5 linked regions of the Macaca mulatta genome follow. The protein of the gene in region 1 binds, or shares a complex with, the protein of each later gene. Links are inferred from orthologs where the notes say so. Each region holds a gene or a part of one and is shown in the gene's direction. Other genes may lie near its edges.

Region 1 (5,941 bases):
AACTCATGTTATCTGCTTTCATAATTCTGTGCATATTTCTTTTATATTATTTGTCATCTTGTTTTGTAATCACCTGTGTATGTCTCTTTCCCCTCTCCAGGAGAAAAAATTGATTATATTTGTATTCTGTAACCTATAGGGCCATTATGTAATAGGCACCTGAGAAATATTTGTTGAATAAATGAATGAACTGATAAACCACTACCCTAAAAGCCACTTATTGACTTTACATATTGAGTTCCAAAAATGTGTATGTTTTGAATGCTTGATTTCACTGATGCTTCTATTCTTCTTCTTCTTTTGAGACAGGGTCTCACTCTGTTGCCCAGTGTGGAGTGCAGTGGTGCGATCTTAGCTCTCTATAGCCTCGAACTTAAGGGCTCAAGTGATCCTCCTGCCTCAGCCTTCCAAGTAGCTGGGACTACAGGGATACGCCACCATGCCTAGCTAATTTTTTTATTTTTTTGTAGAGATGTGGTCTGGTTATATTGCTCAGGCTGCTGTCAAACTCCTGGGCTCAGGTGATCCTCCTGCCTCAGTGTTTCAAAGTGCTGGGATTACAGGCATGAGCCACCATGCCCAGCTCACTGATACATCTGGATGTGGAACCACAAAGTAATATGCATGTGTTTTTATCTTGAAAGTGCATCACCAGTTGACTACTCTTCTGGCTTTTGTTTCTTTTTCCTCTGGCTTGCTCTGCAGTGGTTCTTGAGTATACTGTTACTGATAGGATAGGCTAGGCTAGGCTAGGCATAGTCCAGATTATGTTTGCTACCATGTATCTTTAGCTATTCAAAATGTCTCCTGAATACTAGTTACCTTTCCTGCCTTTTATACAAAACAGAAGGGAGCTGGCACTCCATGTGACTAGGTATTCCAAAGTCACCCAGGGGTCATTGCAGCTCTTCAGTGTAAACCTTCTTCCTAATTACCTAATTTCCATAGCCAGTTTCTTGGTTTCAGTGAGAATGAGATTGTCAGGTTCATTATGTCCCATTGTGATTTGATGACTTTTTTTTTAACACTAATTTTGGTATACTTATTAGATATTTTTAGATTCTTTTTTCTATACCAGTCTTATTCTAAAATCGAATTCTGTAACTCCAAGTTACCACTACAGAATCTTGTATTCCACTCCTTTAAATCCTTTCTGTTGTTTTAACAAACACTTATTGAGCACCACTTATGAACCAATCCCTGTACTAGACATTGGAGACATAAAATTACTAAGATACAATCCCTGCCCATAAGGTGTGTTCAAGAGTGCCAGAATGTCAGCAAAAACAAACTGATGGTGTTTGTTTCTTCTAAAATAAATGTTCTCAAGTTAAAGCAAGTATTAGAAGTTACCATTAATTCAAATAATGAACAAATAATGAACTTCAGAATTGCCTTAGGCTGACAATTTCTCCAAGCATTCAAGGGCAGATGTCTCTGTCTGTGTCACATTATATATTAAATGTGTTGGCATGCGCTGAAAGCAGGTGCTAAATCTTTCAGACTGACTCTTCAACACTAGTACTGTAATATTTTTTGTATGGTACAGGGAGTAAATGTAAAAGGAGTAAGAGGAGAGATGGTTGTAGGCTATGGATTCTGGGGTAGGATAACTTCACAGAAAAGATAAGATTTGAGTTGAGCTATGAAGTATGGTTGTATAAAGGTATAGAGTATTCCGGGTTAGAGAATCACATAAACTAAGCTGTCCAGGTGAGATTAAGCATAATAAAAGTACCAGTAAGGTGTTCAGCTCCCTATGCAGCTAGTTCATTCCAAGGGTGTCTGAGGAAAATGTTCAACACAGTGAAATCAGGTTATGGAGGGACTTAAAAGCTAGACAAAAGAATTAAAACATGTAGTAGAAAACATTGCATACTTCTAAGTAGGGGGACAATATGATTAAAGTGGTATTTTAAGAAAATTGTACTGACAGTGATGTGCACAAGACATTGAAGTGGGCAGAACTTGAGACTATACTGAGACAGGGAAGAATAGAGAGAATAGAGAGAATAGGAAGAATAGAGAGTAAGAATAGAGAGAAAGGAAAAAAATCTGAAATCATGGTTTAAAAAAAAAAAAAAAAAGGTGCCCGGGGATGGGGAGGGGGACAGGGTTAGAAACAGTTCCAGGTTTTGGTTTGAGGCTGCAAAGCATATGGAGGAATTTAAGATGATTATATTTTTTAGACTGAGAGAGTAATAATAGCTTTAATAGGAATAGAAGAGTTGAAATGCCTGTTTACGTTCAGTAAGAAGAGTATTCGTTTTATTTGTTTTCTCTTTTTTATACATCATTAGAAGTATACATTAGAAGTAACCCATGCTTATAGAAAAAAAAAAATCAAAGACTGCAGAAGTATGTAGAGTTAAAAGTCAGTCTCCTGCTTCCACCACAGCCCTCCCCTCTACTGCAGCTTCCATCCCCTTCAACTGTTAACCATTGGCTGAATATCCTTCTAGACGTTTCTGTATGCATTACCACACATGCGTCCAATTCTAGCAAGATTTGGATTCTTGTTCATTTTACAGGGTGATTTAATTTCAGACATACTGAGTTTGAAGTGATCAAATTTCAAGATTTCAGTTAAAAAGTCAGGATTTCAGTTAAATCCTTTAGGCTATTGAAAATCGGAAACTGGAATTTTCATAGACATTTTTAAAGATGTAGAGACCTTAAGCTCTGCTAAGGATAGGCATAAGAAAAACTTGCTTTTGTAAAGAAAAAAACTCACTATATCTAACTTTTTATCTTTTTATCTCTGTTTTATGTTGTGTTTTCTAATTACATTTGAAATTTTATAGGTAAATTACCTTTATGACTGGGCATGGTGGTGGTGCACTGGTAGTCCCAGCTACTCGGAAGGCTAAGGTGGGAGGACGGCTTGAGCCTGGGAAGTTAAGGTTGTAGTGAGCCATGATTGCCCTACTGCACTCCAGCCTGGGCAGCAGAGTGAGACCCTGTCTCAAAAAACAAACAAAAACCAAACTTTTATGATCTGAGCCTTCTTTGTAAATATTCTTAGATTTTAAAAATTCATTTAATGGTATAATTCATTCAGTAGGTATTTATTGAGTGCCAGCTATTGTTATTGAGTTCCAGCCACTGTTTAAAATTCCGCAGATGCATCAGGGAACAACAGAGGAAATGTAACAAACATTGATTTTGTCAGCACAGCACACTACTTATTTGATGATTTAAAAAAAAAAGGCCAGGCACATTGGCTCATTCCTGTTATCCCACCACTTTGCGAGGCAGAAGCAGGAGGATTGCTTGAGGCCAGGAGTTCAAAACCAGCCTGAGCAACATAGCAAGAACTCATCTCTACAAAAAAAAAAAATAAATAATAATAATAATAACTAGCAAGGCATGGTGGCATGTGCTTATAGTCCCAGCTACTCGGGAGACTGAGAGGGGAAGATTGCTTGAGCCTAGGAGTTTGAGGCAGCAAGGAGCTGTGATCATACTACGGCACTCCAGCCTGGGCAACAAGCAAGATGCCATCTCCTTTTTTTTTTTTCCCCCCCTGAAACGGAATCTTGCTCTGTTGCCCAGGCTAGAGTGTAGTGGCGTGATCTCGGCTCACTGCAACCTCCGCCTACCAGGTTCGAGCAGTTCTCCTGCCTCAGCCCCCTGAGTAGCTGGGATTACAGGCGTGCGCCACCATGCCCGGCTAATTTTTTTATTTTTAGTAGAGACAGTTTCACCATGTTGGCCAGGCTGGTCTCGAACTCCTGACCTTGTGATCTGCCCGCCTCAGCCTCTCAGTGCTGGGATTACAGGTGTGAGCCACCGCGCCCAGCCAAGATGCCATCTAAAAAAAAAAAGACAAAACACTATTATTATTATTTCTGGGGCATTTTCTGTGTGTCAGGCACTGTTGCAGATGCTTTTGATCATCTGTAAACTACTTTGAAATTTGTTCTATAATATATAAGCTGATCATGAGTGTGATTTTTCTGTGGTGTTCTGGCTAGTTGTCTGATCATATTTAAGCTTGACCTTAATAATCAGCTTAAACATGATTCTGTGATGTTCTATTTAAAATATTAAATTCTTTCCAATAACTAGGTTAAAATGTTTGATTCTGAGCTGCATATTTACTTACTACCTTTTTTAATATTTAAAAATATATTCACGGGATTTCTTCAAATAATTTGATTTGCTTTTGGCTTTGTTTCAGATGGCCGAACAGACCCAGTTTTGGATGATGTTGGTGAAGCTTTCCAGCTGATGGGGGTTAGTCTACATGAACTAGAAGACTATATTCACAACATTGAACCTGTCACCTTCCCACACCAAATTCCGTCATTTCCCGTTAGCAAGAACAATGTACTTCAGTTTCCTCAACCTGGAAGTAAAGATGCAGAGGAAAGAAAAGAATACATTCCTGATTACCTGCCACCCATTGTGTCTTCTCAAGAAGGTTTGTGAGTGTTTCTTCTTCATTTGTTAGGGACTATTTTAATGGATTTTTGATCCTCTTAGCTTTCCATGCTATGCCAACTTTATACATTCTGGAAACACAATAGAAACATGTACTGTTATTTACAAATTATTCGAACCCTTAAACCAACAAACTTGCAACTGACATTACCAGGCCAAGCCATGGTGTAATCAAGGTTATGTCTGAAGCATTTATCTCCTTTGTAAAGTTTGAGTAGAGGAAAACGGTGAAGCCAAAGAGAAGCCTTTCAACAGCCCTATTATATGAGAATGGGGTATTAAGTAAACTAGAAAACCTTTAAAACAAAAAGAAAAATTGGGGTAGCTCTTTCCTCCTCGCTTACTATTCAGGCCATGAGTTGAATGCCATAGCTTTATACTGGAAACAGTGAGTGAATCGTGAGTATTCACTGATATTGTATAGACTTACTTCTGTTTTTTATGATGAGTAGAAATGTTTATTGTTTGATCATAATAGAACTTTTGATTATAAAATGATAGCTAATCAGATACAGTGGTCAGTCCCATTGCAGAGTTCCCTTTTTTCCTGTATAATTTTAGATGTTGATCACTAAGTTCACTAAGATTCTGAAAAGAGATTTAAGTAATTTGTGGTCTCTAATACAACTGCGCAGTATTTTTTCTTAAAAGACTTGGAAAAGTTGCAATTAAGTTCTTTCATTTTGTAACAAATTCTAAAACCTGTATACTTCAGGACAATGCAAATGATGCCAGCAATTACTTTTACTTACGATTTTCTATTGTAAAATATACATCACATAAATGGACCGTTGTCACCATTTGTAGGTGTACAGTTCTGTGGCATTAAGTATACATTGTTATTCAACCATCATCCCCCTCCTTCTCCAGAATTTTTTACCCTCCCAAATTGAAACACTGTTCCCATTAAAGGTATCTCCCCATTCTCCACCACTTCCAGCCCCTGCCAACCATTCCTTTTTTTTTTTTTGTCTCTATGAGTTTGTCTATTCTAGGTACCTTTTATAAGTGGAATTGTACAGTATTTGTCTTTTTATGGCTGTCTTATTTCACTTAGTATGATGTCTTCAGGGTTCATTCATGTTGTAGCCTGTGTCAGGATTTCGTTGTGTGTGTGTGTTTTTAAGGCAGAATAATACATTATATATACGTTCCACATTTGTTTATCCATTCACTCACTGATGGACATTTGGGTTGTTTCAACCTTTTGGCTCTAGTGATTAATGCTGCTGTGAACATTGGTGTGCAAATATCTGTTCCAGTTCTTGCTTTCAAGTTTTTTGGGGGTCTGTACCCCGAAGTAGAATTGCTGGATCATATAGTAATTGTCTACTTAATTTTTGAGGAAGCACCACACTGTTTTCCACAGTGGCTGCACCATCCTCACCTTCCTATCAGTGGTGCTCAAGGGTTCCAGTTTCTTGCAATTCATTTCTTATAATCGGTTCTACTTTAATAGCTTTTTGAAGCGTTACCTATTTGTCTCAGGAACTAT
Region 2 (6,720 bases), about 110 Mb from region 1:
GTGAGCCACCGCGCCCAGCCAGAACACCTTTTAAAGTGAAGTAGAAATAACCAATGGCTACTTATTATGTACTAGCTATTGCATATGCATTATCTCATTTAATTCTCAAAACACTGTGATGTAAGTACTGTTAGTGTTTTGGTGAGAAATTGGGCAACTGGGGCCAGGTGTGATGGCCTGTAATCCCAGCACTTTGGGAGGCTGAGGCAGGCAGATCACCTGAAGTCGGGAGTTGGAGACCAGCTTGACCAACATGGAGAAACCCTGTCTCTACTAAAAATACAAAATTAGCTGGGCCTGATGTGGCACATGGGAGTAATCCCAGCTACTCGGGAGGCTGAGGCAGGATAATCGCTAGAATCTGGGAGGCGGAGGTTGCAGTGAGCCGAGATCACGCCATTGCACTCCAGCCTGGGCAACAAGAGTGAAACTCCGTTTCAAAAAATAAAAAATTAAAAAAAAAAACAGAAATTGGGCAACTGGGGCATAGTAAATTAAGCAACTTGCTCCAGGTTATTCAGCCAGTAAGCAAGGTCAAGCCAGGTGGTCTGTGCCTGTAGTCTCAGCTACTTGGGAGGCTGAGGTGGGAGACTGCTTGAGTCCAGGAGTTCAAGGCCAGCCTAGGCAATATAATAAGGCTCCAGATCTCTAATAAATAAAATACAATATTTTTAAAAAGTAAGCAGGGTCAAAGGACACTGGTAAGACCTCAAAACCAATAACTTGAACGGCTGTGCTAGATTTTCCCAATGCCTCAGGCTCACTTTTCTCATCTGTACCTATTTCACAGAGTTACAAGGTTCCAATGAGATAAAATATGCAGGAGGGTTTTATAACCTATGAAGCACATTGCAAAATGGCATATATGATTTTGTTTTTTTATTCCTGAGATGGAGTTTTGTTCTTCTTGTCCAGGCTGAAGTGCAATGGTGCGATCTCGGCTCACTGCAACCTCCACCTCCTGGGTTCAGGTGATTCTTCTACTTCAGCCTCCCGAATAGCTGGGATTACATGCGCGCGCCACCACACCTGGCTAAGTTTTTATATTTTTAGTAGAGACGGCGTTTCATCATGTTAGCTAGGCTGGTCTGGAACTCCTGACCTCGGGTGATCCACCCACCTCGGCCTCCCAAAGTGCTGGGACTACAGGTATGTGCCACTGCGTCCGGCCATGAGTTTTTTTTTTTTTTTTTTTTTTTTTTTTTGAGACGGAGTCTTGCTGTGTCACCCAGGCTGGAGTGCAGTGGCGCGATCTCGGCTCACTGCAAGCTCCGCCTCCCGGGTTTACGCCATTCTCCTGCCTCAGCCTCCGAGTAGCTGGGACTACAGGCGCCCGCCACCACGCCCGGCTAGTTTTTTGTATTTTTAGTAGAGACGGGGTTTCACCATGTTAGCCAGGATGGTCTCGATCTCCTGACTTCGTGATCCACCCGCCTCGGCCTCCCAAAGTACTGGGATTACAGGCTTGAGCCACCGCGCCCGGCCGAGTTTTAAATATACAATTAAAATGGTTTATTTGTAATAACGGATAATAGCATGAATACATAACGTACATATTTCACAACCACAAAATTCTGTGATTTTTTTTTTTTTTTGAGATGGAGTCTCCTTCTGTCGCCCAGGCTGGAGCGCAGTGGCTAGATCTCGGCTCACTGCAACCTCCATCTCCGGGGTTCAGGCGATTCTTCTGCCTCAGCCTCTGGAGTACCTGGGATTACAGGGGCGCACCACCACGCCCAGCTAATTTTTTGTATTTTTAGTAGAGGCGGGGTTTCGCCATGTTGGTTGGTGAGGCTGGTCTCTAATTCTTGACCTCGTGATCCGCCCTCCTCGGCCTCCCAAAGTGCTGGGGTTACAGGTGGGAGCCACCGCGCCTGTAAAACTTTTTATTGCATTTAAAAACTTTTTATTGCAATGTAATGTGTATGGGCCAGGTGCAGTGGCTCACGCCTGTAATCCCAGCACTCTGGGACGCCGAGGGGCGGATCACCTGAGATTAGGAGTTTGAGACCAGCCTGGCCAACATGACGAAACCCCGTCTCTACTGAAAATACAACAATTAGCCGGGCGTGGTGGCACATGCTTGTAATCCCAGCTACTCGGGAGGCTCAGGTAGGAGAATCGCTTGAACCCGGGAGGCGGAGGTTGCAGTGAGCTGAGATCGGGCCACTGTACTCCAGCCTGGGCGACAGAGCGAGACTCCGTCTCAAAAAATAAATAAGTAAATAAAAAAATGTAATGTAATGTAATGTATATGGTTAAAAGTTCATAAAGCATGCACCTTGATTAACTTTTACAAAAGTAAAAATTGCAAAAAAAAAAAAAAAAAAAAAAAAAGCACTATCCGGGTCAAAACGTAAAACATTACCAGTATCTTGGAAGCCTTCCTCTGGCAAATGGTATATACTTTTGAGTTAAATACGTGGATTCGAATGTTGACATTTGGACTTTCTTCTTGCGTGACTCTGGTAAGTTATTTAACCTTTCTTGGTTTCGGCAGAGCCATCTGTGGGGTGGGGATAATATTACCTCATAAGACTATTTAATTGTAGCCGGGCGTGGTGGCGCATGCCTGTAATCCTAGCTACTGGGGAGGCTGAGGCAGGAGAATCGCTTGAACAGCCTGGGCGACAAGAATGAAATTCCGTCTCAAAAAAAAAGAGAAAAAGATTATTGAATTGAAGGAGATCACATAATGTAAAACGTCTATCATAATGCCTAAATATAGCTGCTCTGCAATAAATGGCAATTATTATCAGAGAAATGTAATAGGTGTTCCCTATGCCCACTTCCTGCCTTTCTTTCGCCCGTTTTTGAAAGTTGCTCTCTTTCCTATTCCGTTTCTCCTTCCTTTTCGCCCCTCCTACTGCCGTAAATGGCCTACTAGAGTTGTCGTGAAATGCTCCTCCCCGCCCTCCATGTGGCGAAAATGCAATCACGCTTGACGGCGCAAGGTGGCTCAGCCGCAAGATGGCGGCGCTGGCGGAGGAGCAGACGGAGGTGGCGGTCAAGCTAGAGCCTGAGGGACCGCCAACGCTGCTACCTCCGCAGGCGGGGGACGGCGCAGGCGAGGGTAGCGGCGGCACTACCAACAACGGCCCTAACGGCGGCGGCGGGAACGTTGCGGCATCGTCGTCCACTGGCGGGGATGGCGGGACCCCCAAGCTCACGGTGGCTGTCTCCACCGCTGCCCCGGCGGGGGCGGCCCCGGTGCCTGCGGCTGCTCCGGAGGCCGGCGCTCCGCACGACCGACAGACTCTACTGGCCGTGCTGCAGTTCCTACGGCAGAGCAACCTCCGCGAGGCCGAAGAGGCGCTGCGCCGTGAGGCCCGGCTGCTGGAGGAGGCAGTGGCGGGCTCCGGAGCCCCGGGAGAGGTGGACAGCGTCGGCGCTGAGGTGGCCAGCGCGCTTCTCAGCCGGGTGACCGCCTCGGCCCCTGGCCCTGCGGCCCCCGACCCTCCGGGCACTGGCGCTTCGGGGGTCACGGCCGTCTCAGGTTCAGCCTCAGGTCCTGCGGCTCCGGGTAAAGGTAAGCCGTGGGGTTCCGGGGAGGCACGGCCGCCGCGAAGGGGAGCAAGCCGGTAAGGCAGGGGCTGGCAGGCCTGCACCTCTGCGGGCTTGTTTTGAATTTCCTGGGCCCGCCTCTAGGGCCACATGCCCGCCCCTTTCTCTAGTGCGCCGGCTGCGCAGTCAAACCCCCTTCCGAGCTGTCAGTTTCAGCGAGAGGCTGAGGAGAGCTGTTGAGCAGAGGGATGTATGGGAAGGTGAGCGCGGAGAGGCGGGGACCTTCACGCTTTTGGTCCCTTTCCTCTCATTTGGGCTTTTGAGCCTTGGGCAGGTCCGCCTGAGACTAACAGTGTTTGTACAGTTTCGTACTAGCGTACTTTAAGTTTTATAAGTACTTTATTTTCTCTTTATTTCTTTACTTCCTTTTAAAAGATGTGTTAATAAATACTTTATGGACTTTTTTTTTTTTTTTTTTTTTTTTTTTTTTTTGAGACGGAGCCTTGCTCTGTTGCCCAGGCTGGAGTGCAGTGGTGCGACCTCGGCTCACTGCAACCTCCGCCTCCTGGGTTCAGGCGATTCTCCTGCCTCAGCCTCGTAAGTAGCTGGGACTACAGGCTTCTACTACCACGGCCAGCTAATTTTTGTATTTTTAGTACAGCCAGGCTTTCACCATGTTGGTCTGGCTGGTCTCGAACTCCCGACCTCATATGATCCACCAGCCTCGGCCTCCCAAAGTGCTGGGATTACAGGCGTGAGCCACCGTGCCCAGCCACCATACAATATACCCTTGTAACAATCCTGCACGTCATGTACCCCCTGAATCTCAGCTAAAAGTTTTTTTTTTTTCTTTTCTTTTTTTTTTTTTCTGTGACGGAGTCTTGCTCTGTCGCTCAGGCTGGACTACAGTGGTGTAATCTCGGCTCACTGCAACCTCTGCCTCCTGGATTTAAGCGATTCTCCTGCCTCAGCCTCGCGAGTAGCTGGGACTACTGGCGCACGACACCACGCCCCGCTTAATTTTTTAAAAAGTATTTTTTGTAGAGACGGGGTTTCGCCATATTGGTCCGACTGGTCTTGAATTTCTGATCTCATGATCCACCCGCCTCGGCCTCTCAAAGTGCTGGGATTACAGGCATGAGCCACCGCACCCGACTGAAATTTTAAAGATATATATGGGCTGAGTACCACCAGTGTTAAGTCTTTGGAGGATGCAGGTTCCTGGGCATCACTTCAGACTTAGTGAATCAGATCCTCTAGAGGTGGAATCTGGGAATCTTCACTTTTGAATAAGAGCTTCTAAGGAGTGTTGACATAGGGCAGCTTGAGAACCATGTGTTTAGGCATGGGCATTGGACAGACCTTTTCGTCTTTGCTGCATTTACATGTGTGATGCTGATTGTCATTCTTTTCTTACCTTTTAATTTTTTTTTACCTTCCTATTGGCCGGGCGTGGTGGCTCATGCCTGTAATCTCAGCACTTTGGGAGGATGAAGCGGGTGGATCACCTGAGGTCAGGAGTTTGAGACCAGCCTGGCCAACATGGTGAAACCCCCTTTCTACTAAAAATACAAAAATTAGCCAGATGTGATGGCGCATGCCTGTAATCCCAGCTACTTGGGAGGCTGAGGCAGGAGAATTGCTTGAACCCGGGAGGCCGAGGTTGCAGTGAGCCAAGATTGCGCCACTGCACTTCAGCCTGGGTGATAGAGCAAGACTCTGTCTTAAAAAAAAAAAAATTTTTTTTTTACATTAATATTGTCAAGAGACAAGTCATTCTCATGTTGAATTTTCTCCCTTTATTACATGAGTGGTTATGAGGGTTTTTTTTTTTTTTTTTTTTTTTTTTGAGACGGAGTCTCGCTCTGTCGCCCAGGCTGGAGTGCAGTGGCCGGATCTCAGCTCACTGCAAGCTCCGCCTCCCGGGTCTACGCCATTCTCCTGCCACAGCCTCCCCAGTAGCTGGCACTACAGGCGCCCGCCACCTCGCCCGGCTAGTTTTTTCTATTTTTTAGTAGAGACAGGGTTTCACCGTGTTAGCCAGGATGATCTCGATCTCCTGACCTTGTGATCCGCCCGTCTCGGCCACCCAAAGTGCTGGGATTACAGGCTTGAGCCACCGCACCCGGCCGAGGGTTTTTTTTTTTTAGACAGAGTCTCGCTCTGTCGGCCAGGCTGGAGTGCAGTGGCACAATCTTGGCTCACTGCAACCTCTGCCTCCCAGGTTCAAGCGATTCTCCTGCCTCAGCCTCCCAAGTAGCTGGGACCACAGGCGCATGTCACCACACCTGGCTATTTTTTTTTTGTCTTTTTGGTAGAGACGGGGTTTCACTATGTTAGCCTGGATGGTCTTGATCTCCTGACCTCGTGATCCACCTGCCTTGGCCTCCCAAAGTGTTGGGATTACAGGCGTGAGCCAGCGCGCCCGGCCACGTGAGGCACTTGTAATATGTATATGTAAAATGTTTGGTATGGATAAGTTTATGCCTCTGTATGTGTTCCTGACACCTGAGCCACTGCTTTCTCACAGCAACTGTTGCCACAAATCCATGCAGTAAAACTCATATACAATATAAGGTCTCAGAGGTGATCCTGAGCTGACAATAAATGTTTATTGAATTATCCAGTGCAGAGCTTTTAGCCAAATTAATCTGTATGAGGCCTAATCTTTGCAGCATTGCCAGAAATGAAGTATGAATACATAGCATTGTATTCATATCTCATTTTAATCCATAAATAGAAATGTGTGCAGATGTGGATTGAAGGCCGGGCACGGTGGCTCACGCCTGTAGTCCCAGCACTTTGGGAGGCCAAGGCAGGTGGATCACTTGAGGTCAGGAGTTCAAGACCAGCCTGGCCAACATGGTGAAACCCCGTCTCTACTAAAAATACAAAAAAATTAGCTGGGCGTGGTGGCATGTGCCGTTGTCCCAGCTGCTCGGGAGGCTGAGGCAGGCGAACCACTTTAACCCAGGAGGCAGAAGTTGCAGTGAGCCAAGATAGCGCCATTGCGCTCCGGCCTGGGCAACAGAGCAAAATTCCGTCTTTACAAAAAAAAAAAAAAAAAAGTGTTTGAGAGGAATCTTTTTTTAATGTTGAATTTTGTGAATGAACTATAAGATGAATTATATTGTTGGTTATTTTGCTGTAATCTCTTATCTCTTCAGAAACTTGACCTAATTATAGATCATAACTGAGAAATCAGTAAGGAGGAAA
Region 3 (6,554 bases), on another chromosome or scaffold:
GAACTTCAAGCACAAGAGAGGCTAAAAGACGAACATCTTGAAAATGATAAATCCAGAGGCAATTTTAATATAAACAAAAGTGAGGGGGCGTGCGCGGTGGCTCACGCTTGTAATCCCAGCACTTTGGGAGGCCGAGGCGGGCGGATCGTGAGATCAAGAGCTCGACACCAGCCTGGCCAACATGGTGAAACCCCGTCTCTACTAAAACACAAAAACTAGCCGGGTGTCGTGGCGGGCGCCTGTAATCCCAGCTACTCGAGAGGCAGCCGCAGGAGAATCGCTTGAACCCGGGAGGTGGAGGTTGCAGTGAGCCGAGATCGCGCCACTGCACTCCAGCCTGGGTGATAGAACAAGTCTCCGTCTCGGGCGGGGCGGGGGGGGGGGCGGGAAAAGCGAGGTCCTGCGTAGCCTGGTGGAAGGTTCCAAGTTCCTAAGAGAAAAAAATCAATAGAATTTCCTCCAGAGGAGCCTCGAGATTCTACAAGGCGTGGGAGTTTCTGCAGGAGGTGAGGGAGAGCATATGTATATATATGATATACATATTTGCTCCAAATTGGCTTTTGTGGGCTACGACAGCTGGCACCCTGTAGCGAGCGAGGGTGAAGCCCGGCTGTGCCATGCGGCGGAGGCTGCCACCTGGGCACTCCCACCATTCTTCGCAGCCGGCTCAGAACGGGAGACCAGGCGAGCCCGGAGCAGCGTGGACTCGGACCCGCGCGCCCTCCGGTATCCTGGCCCGTGCGCCGCCTGCCTCGCCCCGGGCACGCCACAAGCCCACCCCGCCCGAGTCTCAGGACCCCCGATCTCTCTGGAGACCCAAGAGACGGGTGGGGGAGAAGGGGTCTGCAGGCAGCGGCCCGGCCCCGGCGCGTACCCACCTGAGCAGACTGGAGAGGGGGTGGCTGGAAGAGCCGAGGCCGCCGCCGCCGCCGCCCCCAGAGCCGCCGCCGCCGCCGCCGCCGCCGCCCCCAAAGCCAGAGGAGAGCCGCTTCCCGGACAGCAGCTTCTCCACCGCCGGGAGGTGCCCGGTGCGGGCCGCCTCCAGCAGCTCCTGCTCCTTCCCCATCCCCAGGGCCGCCACCCGCTGGACCCCCCTCCCCGGGGCTGCAGCCGAGCCTGCTCGGGCTCCCAAACTTTCCGTCTCCGGGCAACGCACCCCCCAAACCGGCTGGGGACACCACCCCCCCTCCCTGCCTTTTCTCCACAAGCGCGTCACTTCCGGGATCCGGCGTCACGCGTCACCGCGCCCCCGCGCCCCGCCCCCTAGCTCACCTAGCTGGGCGGGGCTCCGCGGACCAGCGCAGGTGGATTTTGCTGTGCCGAGACAGGCCTCACGGGTTATGGGGACAGCGCCTTGTGGGTCCCCATTATATAGGTGGAAAGGGACAAACAGGCCCACCTGTACGCGCCTCCCGAAGTGCGCTCCTTCCCTAAACGTTTTGGGAGCTCCTGGGACAGGAAATACGGCAATTCGTCCAGGCAGCGCAGAAACAAAGAGATAAATATGGTAACGCGCACCTACATTTCCAAGGACATTCTTTAAGCACGCATAAATTAAATATGTAATAGGTGCTGGGACCTAGTCATACCCAGGTGAATAAAACGCCCTCCCCCTCGTATCTCTATGAGGGAAGAGAAGAAAATTTTAAAATAGAAATATCCTCACCACTTCATCCTCCCAGTACATGAACTAGTTCGTTAAAGTGAAACGTTCGAAGGAGACACCTTCCTCTCTTTAGGCTTTCCTCTTAGTTTTGGTAAGATTAACCAAAATGATAGAAAAGTGTCAGACTTGTAGAAACAAACCTCAATCTTGAATACTTGCGAACTGAAAAAAAATCATTTAATTGGATAGAAACTATGTGTGTTTTGTTCCCTGGTACTAGCACTGTTTCTAAATCGAAGTACGCAGTCAATAGTTGTGGATGAATAAATGAATTGGATAAATTCTGCTCAAGCTAGATGACTTTTTGTTGTTAAGGTGCTTGCTGAATGGAGCGGAAATGCTAGCAATTCCACGTACACACAGACCCGCGGTTTCGGGCCAGTTGAAATACACAAGGTTGAGTCTTGCCTGAAAGTTTACCAATCCCGGGTAGCCTCATTCCACGACACCGCCATACAACGGAACTGAGTTTTCTCCCGATCCCCCAACTTTACTCTGAGGGGTTAACGAAGGGATTAACTGGTATTGAATTTTTAGACAGGCGAAAAGGAAAAAGTTATTTAGTAAACAAAACTGCGCTCCTTCACAAGTGCTGGTTTCCTAGCTAGGAGGATCCATAGTCTGAGCTCTTTACGTCCAATTTTCCCGCTTCCCACTGTCGCCAAACCAAAGTTAAAATGAGTCCTCTAGTCCTCTACGCGCGCCTCAAAATGACCCCTCAGGAGAGCGGTAGGGGTGATGTCATCGCTGCGCGACGACAGGAAGTAAGATACTGTCCTGTGCAGCTCGGGGTTCCGAGCTTCTGCCTCAGACATCGCCGCGATCTCCTCTCCCCTCCAATCCTATCCGTGATGGACGATGCCCGCGAGTCGCCCTCCGACAAAGGTGGAGAGACAGGGGAGTCGGATGAGACGGCCGCTGCGTCCGGGGACCCGGGGGCTACCGACACGGATGGAATCCCAGAGGAAACTGACGGAGACGCAGATGCGGACTTGAAAGAAGCTGCAGCGGAGGAAGGCGAGGTAGGAAGAGATGTATCGATGAGGCTGAAGGAATACCCAGAGATCGTGTTACTGGGTGCTTGCCGGGCTTCTGGTTAGTCCCTCCCAAGTTACGAGAACTCGAACTCACCAGAACTCCCTCCAGATCGTTAATCTTGAGGGGGAAGAGAGCGGACGACCAAACAGAACTCCAGTGCTGGTTCCGTTCCAGAGGCTCAAGCACTGCGTTAATATTTTTAGTCTTGTCAAGGGATTAAAGCTACTTCTAAGGGAGTTTTAATAGCCTATTGGCTTTAGTGGTGAGGAAACTGGGATCCAGTGTCACACTGAGACGCAGTGCAAGAGCTAAAACCCAGGATTCGTAGCACCCCTTTCACCGCAATATGGTTCGTCTTAGATGTTAAGACAACTTTGTTTCTTTATAGGAAGGAGGGTCGATCAAACCTGTCAAAGGGAGATAGACTTTTATAAAAGTGTCGCCCGGGCTGTAGTACAATGGCGCGATCTCTGGCTCACTGCAACCTCCGCCTCCCGGGTTCACGCGATTCTCTTGCTTCAGCCTCCCAAGTAGCTGGGATTACAGGCTCACACCACCATGCCCGGCTATTTTTTGTATTTTTATTAGAGACGGGGTTTTACCATGTTGGCCAGGCTGGTCTCGAACCCCTGACCTCGTGATCCGTCCGCCTCGGCCTCCCAAAGTGCTGGGATTACAGGCGTGAGCCACAGCACCCGGTGATCAGGGACCCATCAGTTGGGTCTGGTGTTTTTATGCTACAGAGAGTTCAGCAGTGTTGCCTAGCTGAACATTGGTCAGGACCAGAAACTCATCGTTCTCTGGATTACATTTCTGGAAGTAGAATCTTGGGGTCTTAGAGCTAGAAGGGATTTAAGAGATCGTGGGGTGAACAGTAGATTAGATGGAAATAGCCTTTCAGTGTATAAAGTTGCATAAAAATGTATAAAGTAAGAACTTTTAGAAAAAGAGAAAATTTGGCCGGGTGCAGTGGCTCACGCCTGTAATCTTTGGGAGGCGGAGGTGGGTGGATCGCCTGAGGTCAGGAGATCCCCAATATGGGGAAACCCTGTCTCTACTAAAAATACAAAAATTAGCTGGGCATGGTGGCAGGCGCCTGTAATCCCGGCTACTTAGGAGGCTGAGGCACAAGAATCGCTTGAACCTGGGAGGCAGAGGTTGCAGTGAGCCGAGATCGCACCACTGCACACCAGCTTGGGTGCCAGAGTGAAACTCCGTCTCGAAAAAAAGAAAAAGAGAACATTTGACAAAAGTATTTTAAGGCAGGTTTCTTTTTTTGTTTTTGTTTTTGTTTTTGAGACTGAGTACTCGCTCTGTCACCCAGGCTGGAATGTGCAGTGGCGCGATCTCGGCTCACTGCAAGCTCCTTTAAGGCAGTTTTTGTTGGTTTGTTGAGACAAGGTCTCACTCTGTCACCCAGCCTGGAGTGCAGTGGCACAGTCTCTGCCTCCTGGGCTCAAGCAACCCTCTTATCTCAGCGTCCGCAGTAACTGGGATTGCAAGCATACTGCACCACGCTCAGCTGAAGTTTTTGTATTGTTTTGTTTTGTTTTGTTTCGTTTTTGAGACGGAGTCTCGTTCTGTTGCCCAGGCTGGAGTGCAATGGCGCAATCTCGGCCTACTGCAACCTCCGCCTCCCAGGCTCAAGTGATTCTCCTGCCTCAGCCTCCCCAGTAACTGGGATTACAGGCACGTGCCACTGTGCCCAGCTAATTTTTGTATTTTTAGTAGAGCCAAGGTTTCACCAAGTTGCCCAGGCTGGTCTTGAACTCCTGACCTCATGATCCATCTGCCTCAGCCTCCCAAAGTTCTGGGATTATAGGCATGAGCCACCGCACCTGGCCAGCTAAAGGTTTTTTAAATATTGTTTTGGTAGAGACAAGGTCTCATTATATTGCCCAGTCTGGTCTCCAACTCACTGGGCTGAAGTAATCCTTCCGCCTCAGCCTCCCAAAGTGCTAAGATTACAGGTGGGAGCCACCATGCCTGGCCAAGAAGGAAACTTTAAAACAGGTGTCAAGGACAGCAAGGATTTGAATAATTAGCTTGGTACACTAGAGAGCTCACTACATATATAAATTTGCACCGAACAGAGGATAAAATTATGTTGTTTCTGAAACACTTTTAAAAATCAATCATGTACTAGACCATGAAGAAAAATATGAATTCTTAAAAGATATCATAACAGGCCACATCTTGTTAATGCAATGCATTAAACTTGAAATTAACTACAAAAAGCTTCTCCCCCACCAAAAAAGAACCCCCTGGAAATTTTAAACTACTTTTTAAATAGCCTTTAGACTAAAGAAATTAACAGAACACTTTATCAAATGATATGGGATTTGGCCAAAGCTTTATTTAAAGAAAAATGTATAGCCTTACATATTTTTATTAACAACCAGAAGATACTGCAAATAAGCACCTGACTCAAGAGACCAGATAAAGGGCCTAGTGGAGTGGGTCACACCTACAGACCTAGCTACCTGGCAGGCTGACACAGGAGGATCGCTTGAGGCTGCAGTGAGCTATGATCCAGCCTGGGCAACAGAGTGAGTCTGGGGAAAAAACAAACAAACAAACAAACAACAGATAAAGAACAAAATAAATCAGAAGAGTGTAGGAACAAGGAGTTAATAAGGATACAAGTAGACACTAATGAATTAGCACATTAAAAAACATAAATGATAAAATTAAAACCTGATTACTTAAAATGTAAATGTACATTACAAAATATGAAAGGCTATAGGCACTAATATGGAGATCTTTAAAGCTATAAAAACATTTAATGTTCAAGTTTAGGCCAAATAAATGGGAAAATCTGAGAAAAACAGGTGAATTTTTAAAGAAAATACAAACCACCAAACTTGAAGCGCAAAGAAGTTAGAAAACTTGTATAAATCGGTAAGTAAAAAGAAATTGAAAGGATTGTCAAAGATAGACTACCTTAATCCCATCTATTCCCATATTCCTGTATGAGTTTAAATTTGAATTCCTCTTTAGGAACAAGTTAAATCTCAATGAGTTTTGTAGTATACTTACGATTCTACATTAAGTCAGAGGGGGTGAAGTTTGGATTTGATTTTTATTGTTATAAACAGGCAGTTTTTTAAGTTTGGGGGTGCATGTGCAGGATGTGCAGGTTTTGTTACATAAGTAAATGTATGTCATAGGGGTTTGTTGTATAGATTATTTCATCTCCCAGGTATTAAGCCTAGTACCCATTAGTTATTTTTCATGATCCTTTCCCTCCTGCCACCCTTTACCCTCCCATAGACCCCAATGTGTGTTCCCCTGTATGTGTCCATGTGTTCTCATCATTTAGTTCCCACTTATTAGTGAGAACATGCAGTATTTGGTTTTCTGTTCCCGCATTAGTTTGCTAAAGATAATGGCCTCCACCTCCATCCATGTCCCTGCAAAGGACATGATCTCCTTTTTTATGGCTGTGTAGTATTTCATGGTGTATACTGGAAAATACATTTTCATTATCCAGTCTATCATTGATGGGCATTTAGGTTGATTCCATGTCTTTGCTATTGTCAATAGCACTGCAATGAACATACGTGTGGATGTGTCTTTATAATAGAACAATTTATATTCCTGTGGGTGTATACCCAGTAATGGGACTGCTGGGTCAAATGGTAATTCTGTCTTTAGGTCTTTGAGGAATTGTCACACTGCCTTCCTCAATGGTGAACTGATTTATACTCCAACCAAGAGTTTAAAAGCTTTCCTTTGCCTCCACAACCTTGCCAGTATCTGTTATTTTTTGATTTTTGAATAATAGCCATTCTGACAGATATGAGATGGTATCTCATTATGGTTTTGATTTGCATTTCTCTAATCAGAG
Region 4 (6,270 bases), on another chromosome or scaffold:
AGGGAACTAAAATGCTGCAAAACGACTTCAACGAATATTTTTGCTAGCCGTTCAGTCCTGAAAGTGTTTATTAAATTGTAGGCCATTCGTGGAAAAATCTAATGCATGTAGATTTTATTGTAGCGTACAGAAAAATTAAGACTCTGTGGAAACAGTACAGTTACATCATTCACCCAAACGTAAGATTGTTGGCAGCGCACAAGACATGTCTGTTTCTGAGAGATGCAGATTAACCACCCCACAAATAATGTTTAGCATTTTAGATTCCTTAAGCAGAAGATTTTACATCTTTTTGTATGGATCAAACATAGTGCCCTGGTTATTAAGTCATTGTCAAAACATTTTATTGAAAATGTTTTGACAATAAAAGTGAGCATTTTATTGAAAACATGTTGAGTCCAGACTTCAGACTTGGTGTATTATAGTGGACTTGGGGTGGCTGTTATTCTCCTAGATAAGGGAACTGGATTATCCCTGTTATCTTTATGCTCAAGTTTAATTTCAGGGATGTTAAACCTGAATAGCTGAAAATGATGAATTTGATGATCTTGAAATGTAATTATAATAGGTATCATAAGAGGAAGGCAAAGAACAATGTATATAGTATTGTCATTTATGTACAAGGGAATATATATTGTATTACAAAGAGTATGTACATACATACATGTACATTTATATGCAAACATAAATAGGGTTTTTTGGGGAATATATACCTGTATAGGAAACTGGTTTACAGTGGTTATCTCTAGGGAAGGGTGCAAGGGGTCAGTAGAGGTAATACGGTGTCTTTCAGACTGCTTAAATTTTAACATGAACAGTTTTTGTTTTTGTTTTTGTTTGAGACAGTCTTATGTTGGCCAGGCTGGTGTCGAACTCCTGAGCTTAAGTGATCCTCCCACTTTGTCCTCCCAAATTGTTGGGATTACACGCGTGAGCCACCACACCTGGCCATGAACAGTTTTTAAATCTTTTTAAATTAAAGCAAATAGGCCAAGCAAACGAGCCTGTAAATTAAAGCTCATGCCCGTAAATCCCAGCACTTTGGGAAGTGGAGGTGGGGGGATGGCTTGAACTCAGGGGTTTGAGCTTAGCTTAGGCAATATAGCCAAATCCCGTCTCTACAAAAATTAACCAGGGCATGTTGGTGCATACCTGTGGTCCTAGCTACTGGACAGGCTGAGATAGGATTTGAGCCCAGGAGGTGGAGGCTCCAGTGAGCCAAGTTCCACTGCACTCCGGCCTGGGTAACAAAGAGATATCTTGACTTTAAAAGAAGAAAAAGGTTGCCGGGCGGTGGCTCAAGCCTGTAATCCCAGCACTTTGGGAGGCCAAGGCGGGCGGATCACGAGGTCAGGAGATCGAGGCCATCCTGGCTAACACGGTGAAACCCCGTCTCTACTAAAAAATACAAAAAACTAGCCGGGCGAGGTGGCGGCGCCTGTAGTCCCAGCTACTCGGGAGGCTGAGGCAGGAGAATGGCGTAAACCCGGGAGGCGGAGCTTGCAGTGAGCTGAGATCCGGCCACCGCACTCCAGCCTGGGCGACAGAGCCAGACTCCGTCTCAAAAAAAAAATAAAAAATAAATAAAAAGAAGAAAAAGGTAAATAAATTATTGTAATTGATTCGAGGTGGCTAATTTTTTTTTTTTTTTTTTGGAGACGGAGTCTCTGTCACCACGCTGGAGTGCTGTGGCGCGTCCTTGGCTCACTGCATCCTCCAACCACCCGGTTCAAGGGATTCTTCTGCCTCAGCCTCCTGAGTAGCCGGGATTACTGGCATGTGCCACCACGCCTGGCTAATTTTTGTATTTTCATAGAGATGGAGTTTCACTATGTCGGCCAGGATGGTCTCGATCTCCTGACCTCATGATCTTCCCGCCTCGGCCTCCCAAAGTGCAGTGATTACAGGCATGAGCCACTGCGCCCAGCACGAGGTGGCTAATTTTATTCTGAGTAGTTCCATGGTAGCAGCAGGCAGTTTGAATTGGCGTCAGAATTTGCTGAGCCCCACCCCTGGAGAATCAATACACTGAGTAATATTCTGACATTCAATTAGCTTTGGAAAATTTTTATTAGATCGTAGTACATGCTGATTTACATATGGCCAGGCATGGTGGCTCACGCCTGTAATCCCAGCACTTTAGGAGGCCTAGGCGGGCAGATGACATGAGATTAGGAGTTTGAGACCAGCCTGGCCAATATGGTGAAACCCTGTCTCTACTAAAAATACAAAAATTAGCTGGGCATGGTGGTAGGCACCTGTAATTCCAGCTACTCAGGAGACTGAGGCAGGAGACTCGCTTGATCCTGGGAGGTGGAGATTGCAGTGAGCCAAGATCGCGCCACTGCACTCCAGCCTGGGTGACAAGAGCGAAATTCCGTCTCAAAAAAAAAATTTTTTTTACATGTTATTGCTAATTAGAAATTTTTCATTTCAGTCGTCAAGATCTTTAAGGGCAGAGGCCAGGTGAGACTCTGCCTCAGAAATAAAAAAAGGAAGGGCACAAGGTGGGCTGCAGTGTGATAAGTAGTATTTCACAAACAGTATTTTTCTGTGGCTTGTCTTACAGGTACACCAGGGGTTGGAAAAACTACACTAGGCAAAGAACTTGCGTCAAAATCGGGACTGAAATACATTAATGTTGGTGATTTAGCTCGAGAAGGTAAGGGACACTTTGGTGTTAGATTTGTTTTGTTTTGTTTTGTTTTAAGTCTGATAGTGGAGTGTTAGTGCTGGGTATTGTCAGAAGGTACAAAAAACAGATTGCCATTAAAGAATATATACTCTTGCCTGTAATCCCAGCACTTTGGGAGGCTGAGACGGGCGGATCACGAGGTCAGGAGATCGAGACCATCCTGGCTAACACAATGAAACCCCGTCTCTACTAAAAATACAAAAAAATTAGCCGGGCGAGGTGGCGGGCGCCTGTAGTCCCAGCTACTCGGGAGGCTGAGGCAGGAGAATGGCGTAAACCCGGGAGGCGGAGCTTGCAGTGAGCCGAGATGGCGCCACTGCACTCCAGCCTGGGTGACAGAGCGAGACTCCGTCTCAAAAAAAAAAAAAAAAAAATATATATATATATATATAGTCTTTTAGGGAATCCACAGAAATATTAAGTGTCTAATGCTATGTCCTGGTTATTTTGAGCATTTTCCCTTCCTCCTTGAAAATGGCTAGCAATTCTTGTGAATAGTTGGGAAGGCTCCTATGAAGAGACTGGATTTCGGAGAGGTAGAATGTGAATAAGGAGAGTGTTTTCAAGTTGAGCAAACAAAGGTTTGGTACTGCTGAACATATATATGAGCACAGTGAGTGTATTGGTCTCACTGGAAAGAGATTGTTTTGAGCTCAGGTGTAGGACATGACTATGCTATGGTATCTTAGTGTGAGGTTTGCATGCAACTGCATATATTCTAAGATGATAGATGTTTTTATTTATTTTACCCTGTTTTCCCCTAATCTTTTATCACTCCCTTATTTGTGTCTTCATCTTTTTATAGTTGACAATGATTTGTACATGGTAGGAACTCAATAAATTAAAGGGATTTTAAGTATGCCTCATTAAAATTAAGAAAACATATGGTTTAAATTTAAAAAATTTTTTTACAGTTTAACATAGATTAAAAAATTTTTTAAGTTCCTGACAGTTGCTACTAAAGTAACTATTTCAGATTGATCTAATGTACATATTTTTTTCAAATGATCTAAAGTCTGATCATCGGATATCATGGAGTCTGGCAAGATGGCTTCTCCCAAGAGCATGCCGAAAGATGCACAGATGATGGCACAAATCCTGAAGGATATGGGGATTACAGAATATGAGCCAAGAGTTATAAATCAGATGTTGGAGTTTGCCTTCCGATATGTGACCACAATTCTAGATGATGCAAAAATTTATTCAAGCCATGCTAAGAAAGCTACCGTTGATGCAGATGATGTGCGATTGGCAATCCAGTGCCGCGCTGACCAGTCTTTTACCTCTCCTCCCCCAAGAGATTTTTTATTAGATATCGCAAGGCAAAGAAATCAAACCCCTTTGCCACTGATCAAGCCATATTCAGGTCCTAGGTTGCCACCTGATAGATACTGCTTAACAGCTCCAAACTATAGGCTGAAATCTTTACAGAAAAAGGCATCAACTTCTGCGGGAAGAATAACAGTCCCGCGGTTAAGTGTTGGTTCAGTTACTAGCAGACCAAGTACTCCCACACTAGGCACACCAACCCCACAGACCATGTCTGTTTCAACTAAAGTAGGGACTCCCATGTCCCTCACAGGTCAAAGGTTTACAGTACAGATGCCTACTTCGCAGTCTCCAGCTGTAAAAGCTTCAATTCCTGCAACCTCAGCAGTTCAGAATGTTCTGATTAATCCATCATTAATTGGGTCCAAAAACATTCTTATTACCACTAATATGGTGTCATCACAAAATGCTGCCAATGAATCATCAAATGCATTGAAAAGAAAACGTGAAGATGATGATGATGACGATGATGATGATGATGACTATGATAATTTGTAATCTAGCTTTGCTGCATGTAACATGTATACTTGGTCTTGAATTCATTGTACTGATATTAAACATGCATGCTGGATGTTTTCAAGTTGTGTTTTAGAAAACTTTAATAATAATTAATGAGTAAATACAGTTACCATACTTTTCAATTGAAATGAAGGTTTTTCATCAGCCTTAAAAGTGTAAGAAAAATAAAGTTGTCATTCATTACTTTGATTGTTGGTGCTTTGGCAGTTATGTTTTTAAAAGCAATTTTCTCCCTGTTGTCACCAAGGGGAGTAACAGTTGACAGTTGCAGCAACTTGCAGTACTGTAGTCTATTGTTGACCACTAGAATGTCACCTCAAGTGTCTTCAGATATATAGATCACAGTATGATCTCTGGTGTATGTCACTCTTGTGATCTGTTCTCTCAGTTGCTGAAGTATAACCATGACTCCTCTTTGGAGAGACTAGTTGGTCAGGATTTTTATTCATAGTGAATTCTTAACCTGCTTTGATTATCTTCCTCAATTGTCCAACTTCCTAGGTCCCATTTTTCTGTCCCTTTGGTTATATTAAGGACCCTTAGTGTCTCCCAGTATGTCTCCACTTTTTTAAAAAAAATTTATCAGTGTCTCTTTTTGCAGGTTAATTTTGAGCATCTTTGTTTTTCATATTCCTGATACTATAAGCCAGTATCATGTTCATTTTTGATCCAGGGCTGATGATTAGGTTATAGTTTATATTTTTTTAATTTTTAAAATTTTTTTGTCCAAAAGAACATCAATTTATCAAGGTTATAGTTTCTGAAACCTAGATCTTTATTTGCTATCATACAAATACTCATTTTCCATTTCATTTTATTTCCTGAAACAGAATCTCATTCTGTTGCCCAGGCTGGAGTGCAGTGGCACAATCTCAGCTCACTGCAACCTCCGTGTCCCAGGTTCCAGCGATCTTCACACCTCAGCTTCCCAGTAATTCCAGTAGCTGGAATTACAGGTTTGCACCACCACACCTGGCTCATTTTTATATTTTTAGTAGAGATGGGCGTTTGCCATGTTGTCCAGGCTGGTCTTGAACTCCAGGCCTCAAGTGATCTGCCCACCTCGGCCTCCCAAAGTACTAGGATTACAGGTGTGAGCTACCGCACCTGGCCTTCCTTTCTTTCTTTTTTTTGAGACAGAGTCTCACTCTGTTGCCCAGGCTGGAGTGCAGTGGTGCAATCTCAGCTCACTGCAAGCTCCACCTCCTGGGTTCATGCCATTCTCCCGCCTCAGCCTCCCTAGTAGCTGGGACTACAGGTGCCTACTACCACGCCCAGCTAAGTTGTATTTTTAGTAGAGATGGGATTTCACTGCGTTAGTCAGGATGGTCTCAATCTCCTGACCTCGTGATCCACCCGCCTTGGCCTCCCAAAGTGCTGGGATTACAGGTATGAGCCACTGTGCCCAGCCCAGCCTTTACGTTTTATATCTATGAAATCTGGTTTTGTTCCTCATTGTTGAACACCACCATTTTGACAAGTGATTTCTGAGTCACATAATAGTCAATTTCATTCATGCATTCTAATGTTACTTTCACTTAATTTAACACTTCTAAGCTAATTAGAGCATTAATAGCATTGAGAGCAATGGTTACACTAGACCAAGGAAAATCCAGTATAAGGCACTTGTCTTCCTCTTCTTTAGGTCCTCTCCTACCAGTACTCACACCATTTCATTTGGTTAAGACAGAGTCTTGCTCTGTTGCCCAGGCTGGAGTGTGGTGGCC
Region 5 (3,980 bases), on another chromosome or scaffold:
AGCTGCAAAGGGCCCGCGGCTCCGTGCGGCTCCATCCCCAAGTCTCTGCCAGGAGCCGAATACATGGCTACGGAGGACAACATCGCACGGCTGCGCCTGCAGCTCCAGCTCCGACACCTGCTGTCTCACGGCGAGATGGCTGCCTTGACCGGACGTTACGCCACTTCCGGCTTCTCCTGAAGTTCGCTCCCGGCCTCTCTATCTTGCGCTAGTCGTTGCTCCTGGAGGGCTGCAGGGCGGCCTGTCCCTTTGGTAGTTGGGTCCCGCCCATTCCAAAAAAGCTGACAGAAAAGTAAAGGTTTCCCGCCCCCCGTCGAAGAAAACATTGGAATTCACCCCAATGGACGAAAATTTAAGTCTGACCATACAAAAACATTGGCAGAACTATGGCGCAACGCCAACTCGAATAACGGTGAGCGCGTTAATTGTCCTGGCTAATAAAAAATGTATATAACATTTCCTATCCTTAAAGAGCTCACAACCTCACTGATAATAAAGAGTACAAAGAAAACGAGCAGTATAACATGTGACTACGCCACAATGAACTACAGAAGGGAAAATCAGTTCCCACTAAGTTCTAGTCCCACTAAGAAACAACTGCGGATAGAGCCTTGTGACCACAGTGCATGAAACGGGAGTGGCAGAACTGAATATAAATGCGTGTGTAAACACAAGCCGTTTGTTTTGCTTAGTGTTCCTTGTCATTCTACACCCTTGAAGATCAGCTAGCGTTCTTGCACAGGTAAGGAGCACGCGCTTACTGAGTGCCAAGTACTGTCAGTCTCTGTCAATCTCCCGACAGCCCAACGGTAAGCACTATTATCACTATTCAATTTTACAGAAGAAACTGCGGGGGAGAGGTCAGGTAACTTGCCAAAGGTAACACCGCTAGTTGCTTTAAACCACCACCACAACAACAAAACACACACACATATAACCATTTAAAAATCGATCTGTCCTATGTCCAGCAAGGGCCAATTAGAGACGGCTGTGGCACGGCGGCCCCGCCCCGGAACTCCTCAAGAGCTTCGCCCCTCCTTACCTTAAGCTCCGCGCCTATGGAAACACAGGAAGTGACCTATGCCCACACTTCCCAGGGCCTCGGCCCTAGTGGGAGCAACTCGCTGAAGCCGAGGGCAGAGCTGGCGGAAGTGACATTATCAACGCGCGCCAGGAGTTCAGTGAGGTCAGGCAGGTTCGCTGTGGCGGGCGCCTGGGCCGCCGGCTGTGAAACTTCGTTTCCTCTGGCCCATGGTCATCTTTGCAGTGACCCAGGTAACAGCTTGTACTCTTTTCTGAGGGTTCGGGCGGAGGCGACCACTGCATTGAGGCCTGGGGACAATGGTGGGGAAGAGAAGAGGAATTGGCGCGCGTGCAGGCCCCGCGGGGGACGTTCCTCCCTCTCGTGCTGCCGCCGTTCCGGCCTGTAACGGCCGCTCGGCCGCCGCTCCCGCCTGGTGCCCTACTCTGCTGTGTGTCGCCAGCGGCTTCCCATCGTACGATTGTGGGGCGCAGGGTACTACTGACGGGGCGGCGGCGGGCGGGACAGGACAGTCCCTTGCATCGAAGACCTGAAGTTTACCCTGCCCTGTCCTGCCACCGCTTCTTCTCCATGTTAGAAGGCAGATTCACCCTGGTCTGTGCCCGCCTGTTTTGCTACCAACATTGAGACTTAAGTATTTTGTCAGAATCCTGAGACAGCGGGCACGGTAGCGCTTAAGATATAATACACACCATTTATTTACGGGGCCTCCCATCTCTCGGTCAGGCCATCATGGTTTTCCAAATCTCTAGGTAGGCTTTTCTGTGAAAAGACTGTGCTTCATTTAGTTATACAGACACTAGAAGGCTATGCAGAATTAATTTGATTGCCTCCAAAAAATACCGGATTTGATGTTTCAATTTCCAAGAGCTGAAGATACCCAGCAAACAACTCTTTTCTGAGATAAATTAGTGCAGTAATCACCGTACGGTTTCTTCTGTAGACTTACTTGCAAAAAGTGGCCTGAAGCCACCGCAGGTCCTGGATAAATAAATCTCTAGTCCTACTTACAATGGGTTTAAATCCTGCCGTCATTATCTCTTGCCTCACCCTTAGATCCCTGAAGCGGAACTTCCAGCCTCTAGTTTTACTCCTCTCAAATTCGTCTAGTCTTGCCAAATTAGATCTATTCATACTGCACTTCCAAAATTCCATAACTGTTATTATTGCCTATGCAGTAACATTTAAAACTCCTGATAGTATGAGCCCACCAATATGTGCTATTTCATCTGCAGTGACCTTCTATACAGTCATACTAAGCTTGTCGCCTGCATTCTGCATCTTTTTTCAATCTGTTATCTCTTTCTGCTTGATTTCTCTTTTGTCTGAAGCCCTGTTTTGTAAATTCCTACTCACCTTGTGAGACCCAAGTTAGATGGTCCCTGCTTTGTGAAAACACTGCCCTCTCTTCATAGTAATTGGCTGTTAGTCTTTATTGTCTTCTCTTCCAGGGGTGTATATGGGCTCATTCATGATCACATACTGCATTCCAGGCATAGTGCTAGATGCAGAGATCACAAAGACATGTAGACTTTCAAGACTTAGCTTAGGCCATACCTGCTACTATAATACTATGTTTTACAGTAATTATTTGCATACCCTTCATATTGAACACTTTGATGCCAGGGACTACATCTTCCTATCTTTATATCCTCATCTGCAGCACTTTTGTTATTATAGGATAACTGTCAAAAAAAAAAAAAAAGCATAATTTAAAAAATGTCTTTGATACATTTATTTCCAGAAGCACAGCTTGCTTTCTTTTTTGGTCTGTTTTTCAGTGATGAGTATATAGCATAGATAGTTTTTGGGGGCCTTTGCCCTTTCAAAGTGATCGTCAGAGTCTTTCATATATTCAGCAAATATGTGAGTGTCTACTTTGTACCAGCACATGCTTGAAGTGCATATGCCTGAAGGGTCTTTGGACATATAATTTGTAACTTTGAGACCTCTAAGTTCCATGTGAGAATATGTTATTATAAACTCATTTCAGATGTATAGTGAGTAAAGTGATGACGATTTAAGAATAGTCAGATAAAACGCACAGTTTGCACTATTGTGTTCTAAAGAGGTAAGGTTATTACGTTTATAAAAATTCAGAGCTTTATCTTTGTGCAGCTTTTTTTTTATAGTTTCATTACAGTAGGAGCTTGATAAATGATCACTCTGAAGTATATTGGATTGAATTTAATAGTTACTTAATTTTTTGCCCAAGACATTGTAGAGGATGTAAAATTGGGATATTTAAAGATCTGAACTTTGCCTAACAGTGCTGTGTATACAGTGCTTAATAAATATCCTACTCTGATATTACAGTTTCTTTTGGAATTAGTTTTCTGTAGGTGTTTTTCCTCAAAAGTTTTTAATGCTGGTTATGACAGCTTAATTTTGAGCATTATCTGAGTATTTAAACGTGTAACAAAATGATTTTTGTTTTGTTGGCGATTTTACATGCAATCACCGGAAACCTGGAAGGAATAAGACTTTGGGATTATAAGGTAAAAACAAATGTACTCCAGAATAGCTTCATTGGTTTTCATGTTTGTGTTTTGTATAGCCATGGAACTGGCTTATAGGACTGTATAGGTTACCTGGATCCTTAAATTAAACTTCAGACTTTTTTCCAAAGCAGCATCACTGTTTCTTGGTGTCTGAAGATAACCCAAGGAATTGAGGAAGTTGCTGAGAAGAGTGTGCCTGAGATGCTCTAGGAAAAAACTGAATGGTGAGACGAGTTCCAGCCCAAGGGTTTCTGGTTTGCCAAGAAGAAAGTGAACATCATGGATCAGAACAACAGCCTGCCACCTTACGCTCAGGGCTTGGCCTCCCCTCAGGTAATACAGCAGGAGGGAGAGAATAGGGAGGGCGGAAATCTGAACGGCAAGAGATGGTATCAAAAGGCAAGGAAGGGCATTTAATGATCTGTTTTTGAAAATGA

What was found.
Region 2: TAF3 (region 1) and TAF5 share a complex: the UniProt entries of both Homo sapiens proteins name them as parts of the TFIID basal transcription factor complex. The link is inferred for Macaca mulatta from reciprocal best matches to the Homo sapiens genes TAF3 and TAF5.
Region 3: TAF3 (region 1) and TAF11 share a complex: the UniProt entries of both Homo sapiens proteins name them as parts of the TFIID basal transcription factor complex. The link is inferred for Macaca mulatta from reciprocal best matches to the Homo sapiens genes TAF3 and TAF11.
Region 4: TAF3 (region 1) and TAF9 share a complex: the UniProt entries of both Homo sapiens proteins name them as parts of the TFIID basal transcription factor complex. The link is inferred for Macaca mulatta from reciprocal best matches to the Homo sapiens genes TAF3 and TAF9.
Region 5: TAF3 (region 1) and TBP share a complex: the UniProt entries of both Homo sapiens proteins name them as parts of the TFIID basal transcription factor complex. The link is inferred for Macaca mulatta from reciprocal best matches to the Homo sapiens genes TAF3 and TBP.

What each region holds. Positions count from the first base shown.
Region 1 is NC_133414.1:9,320,554-9,326,494, forward strand, and holds part of TAF3 (transcription initiation factor TFIID subunit 3), read left to right. Parts: intron 1-4,183; coding exon 4,184-4,426; intron 4,427-5,941. UniProt on the Homo sapiens protein: The TFIID basal transcription factor complex plays a major role in the initiation of RNA polymerase II (Pol II)-dependent transcription.
Region 2 is NC_133414.1:115,512,855-115,519,574, forward strand, and holds the start of TAF5 (transcription initiation factor TFIID subunit 5), read left to right. Parts: upstream 1-2,934; 5' UTR 2,935-2,970; coding exon 2,971-3,529; intron 3,530-6,720. UniProt on the Homo sapiens protein: The TFIID basal transcription factor complex plays a major role in the initiation of RNA polymerase II (Pol II)-dependent transcription.
Region 3 is NC_133409.1:147,386,964-147,393,517, forward strand, and holds the start of TAF11 (transcription initiation factor TFIID subunit 11), read left to right. Parts: upstream 1-2,483; 5' UTR 2,484-2,517; coding exon 2,518-2,688; intron 2,689-6,554. Other genes in the region: ANKS1A (ankyrin repeat and SAM domain-containing protein 1A), read right to left, coding at 879-1,066. UniProt on the Homo sapiens protein: The TFIID basal transcription factor complex plays a major role in the initiation of RNA polymerase II (Pol II)-dependent transcription.
Region 4 is NC_133411.1:77,438,613-77,444,882, reverse strand, and holds TAF9 (transcription initiation factor TFIID subunit 9), read left to right. Parts: upstream 1-2,568; 5' UTR 2,569-2,569; coding exon of another isoform or gene 2,570-2,662; intron 2,663-3,710; 5' UTR 3,711-3,727; coding exon 3,728-4,522; 3' UTR 4,523-4,681; downstream 4,682-6,270. Other genes in the region: AK6 (adenylate kinase isoenzyme 6), read left to right, coding at 2,570-2,662. UniProt on the Homo sapiens protein: The TFIID basal transcription factor complex plays a major role in the initiation of RNA polymerase II (Pol II)-dependent transcription.
Region 5 is NC_133409.1:1,494,713-1,498,692, reverse strand, and holds the start of TBP (TATA-box-binding protein), read left to right. Parts: upstream 1-1,180; 5' UTR 1,181-1,275; intron 1,276-3,517; 5' UTR 3,518-3,540; intron 3,541-3,671; exon of another isoform or gene 3,672-3,674; 5' UTR 3,675-3,822; coding exon 3,823-3,876; intron 3,877-3,980. Other genes in the region: PSMB1 (proteasome subunit beta type-1), read right to left, coding at 1-83. UniProt on the Homo sapiens protein: The TFIID basal transcription factor complex plays a major role in the initiation of RNA polymerase II (Pol II)-dependent transcription.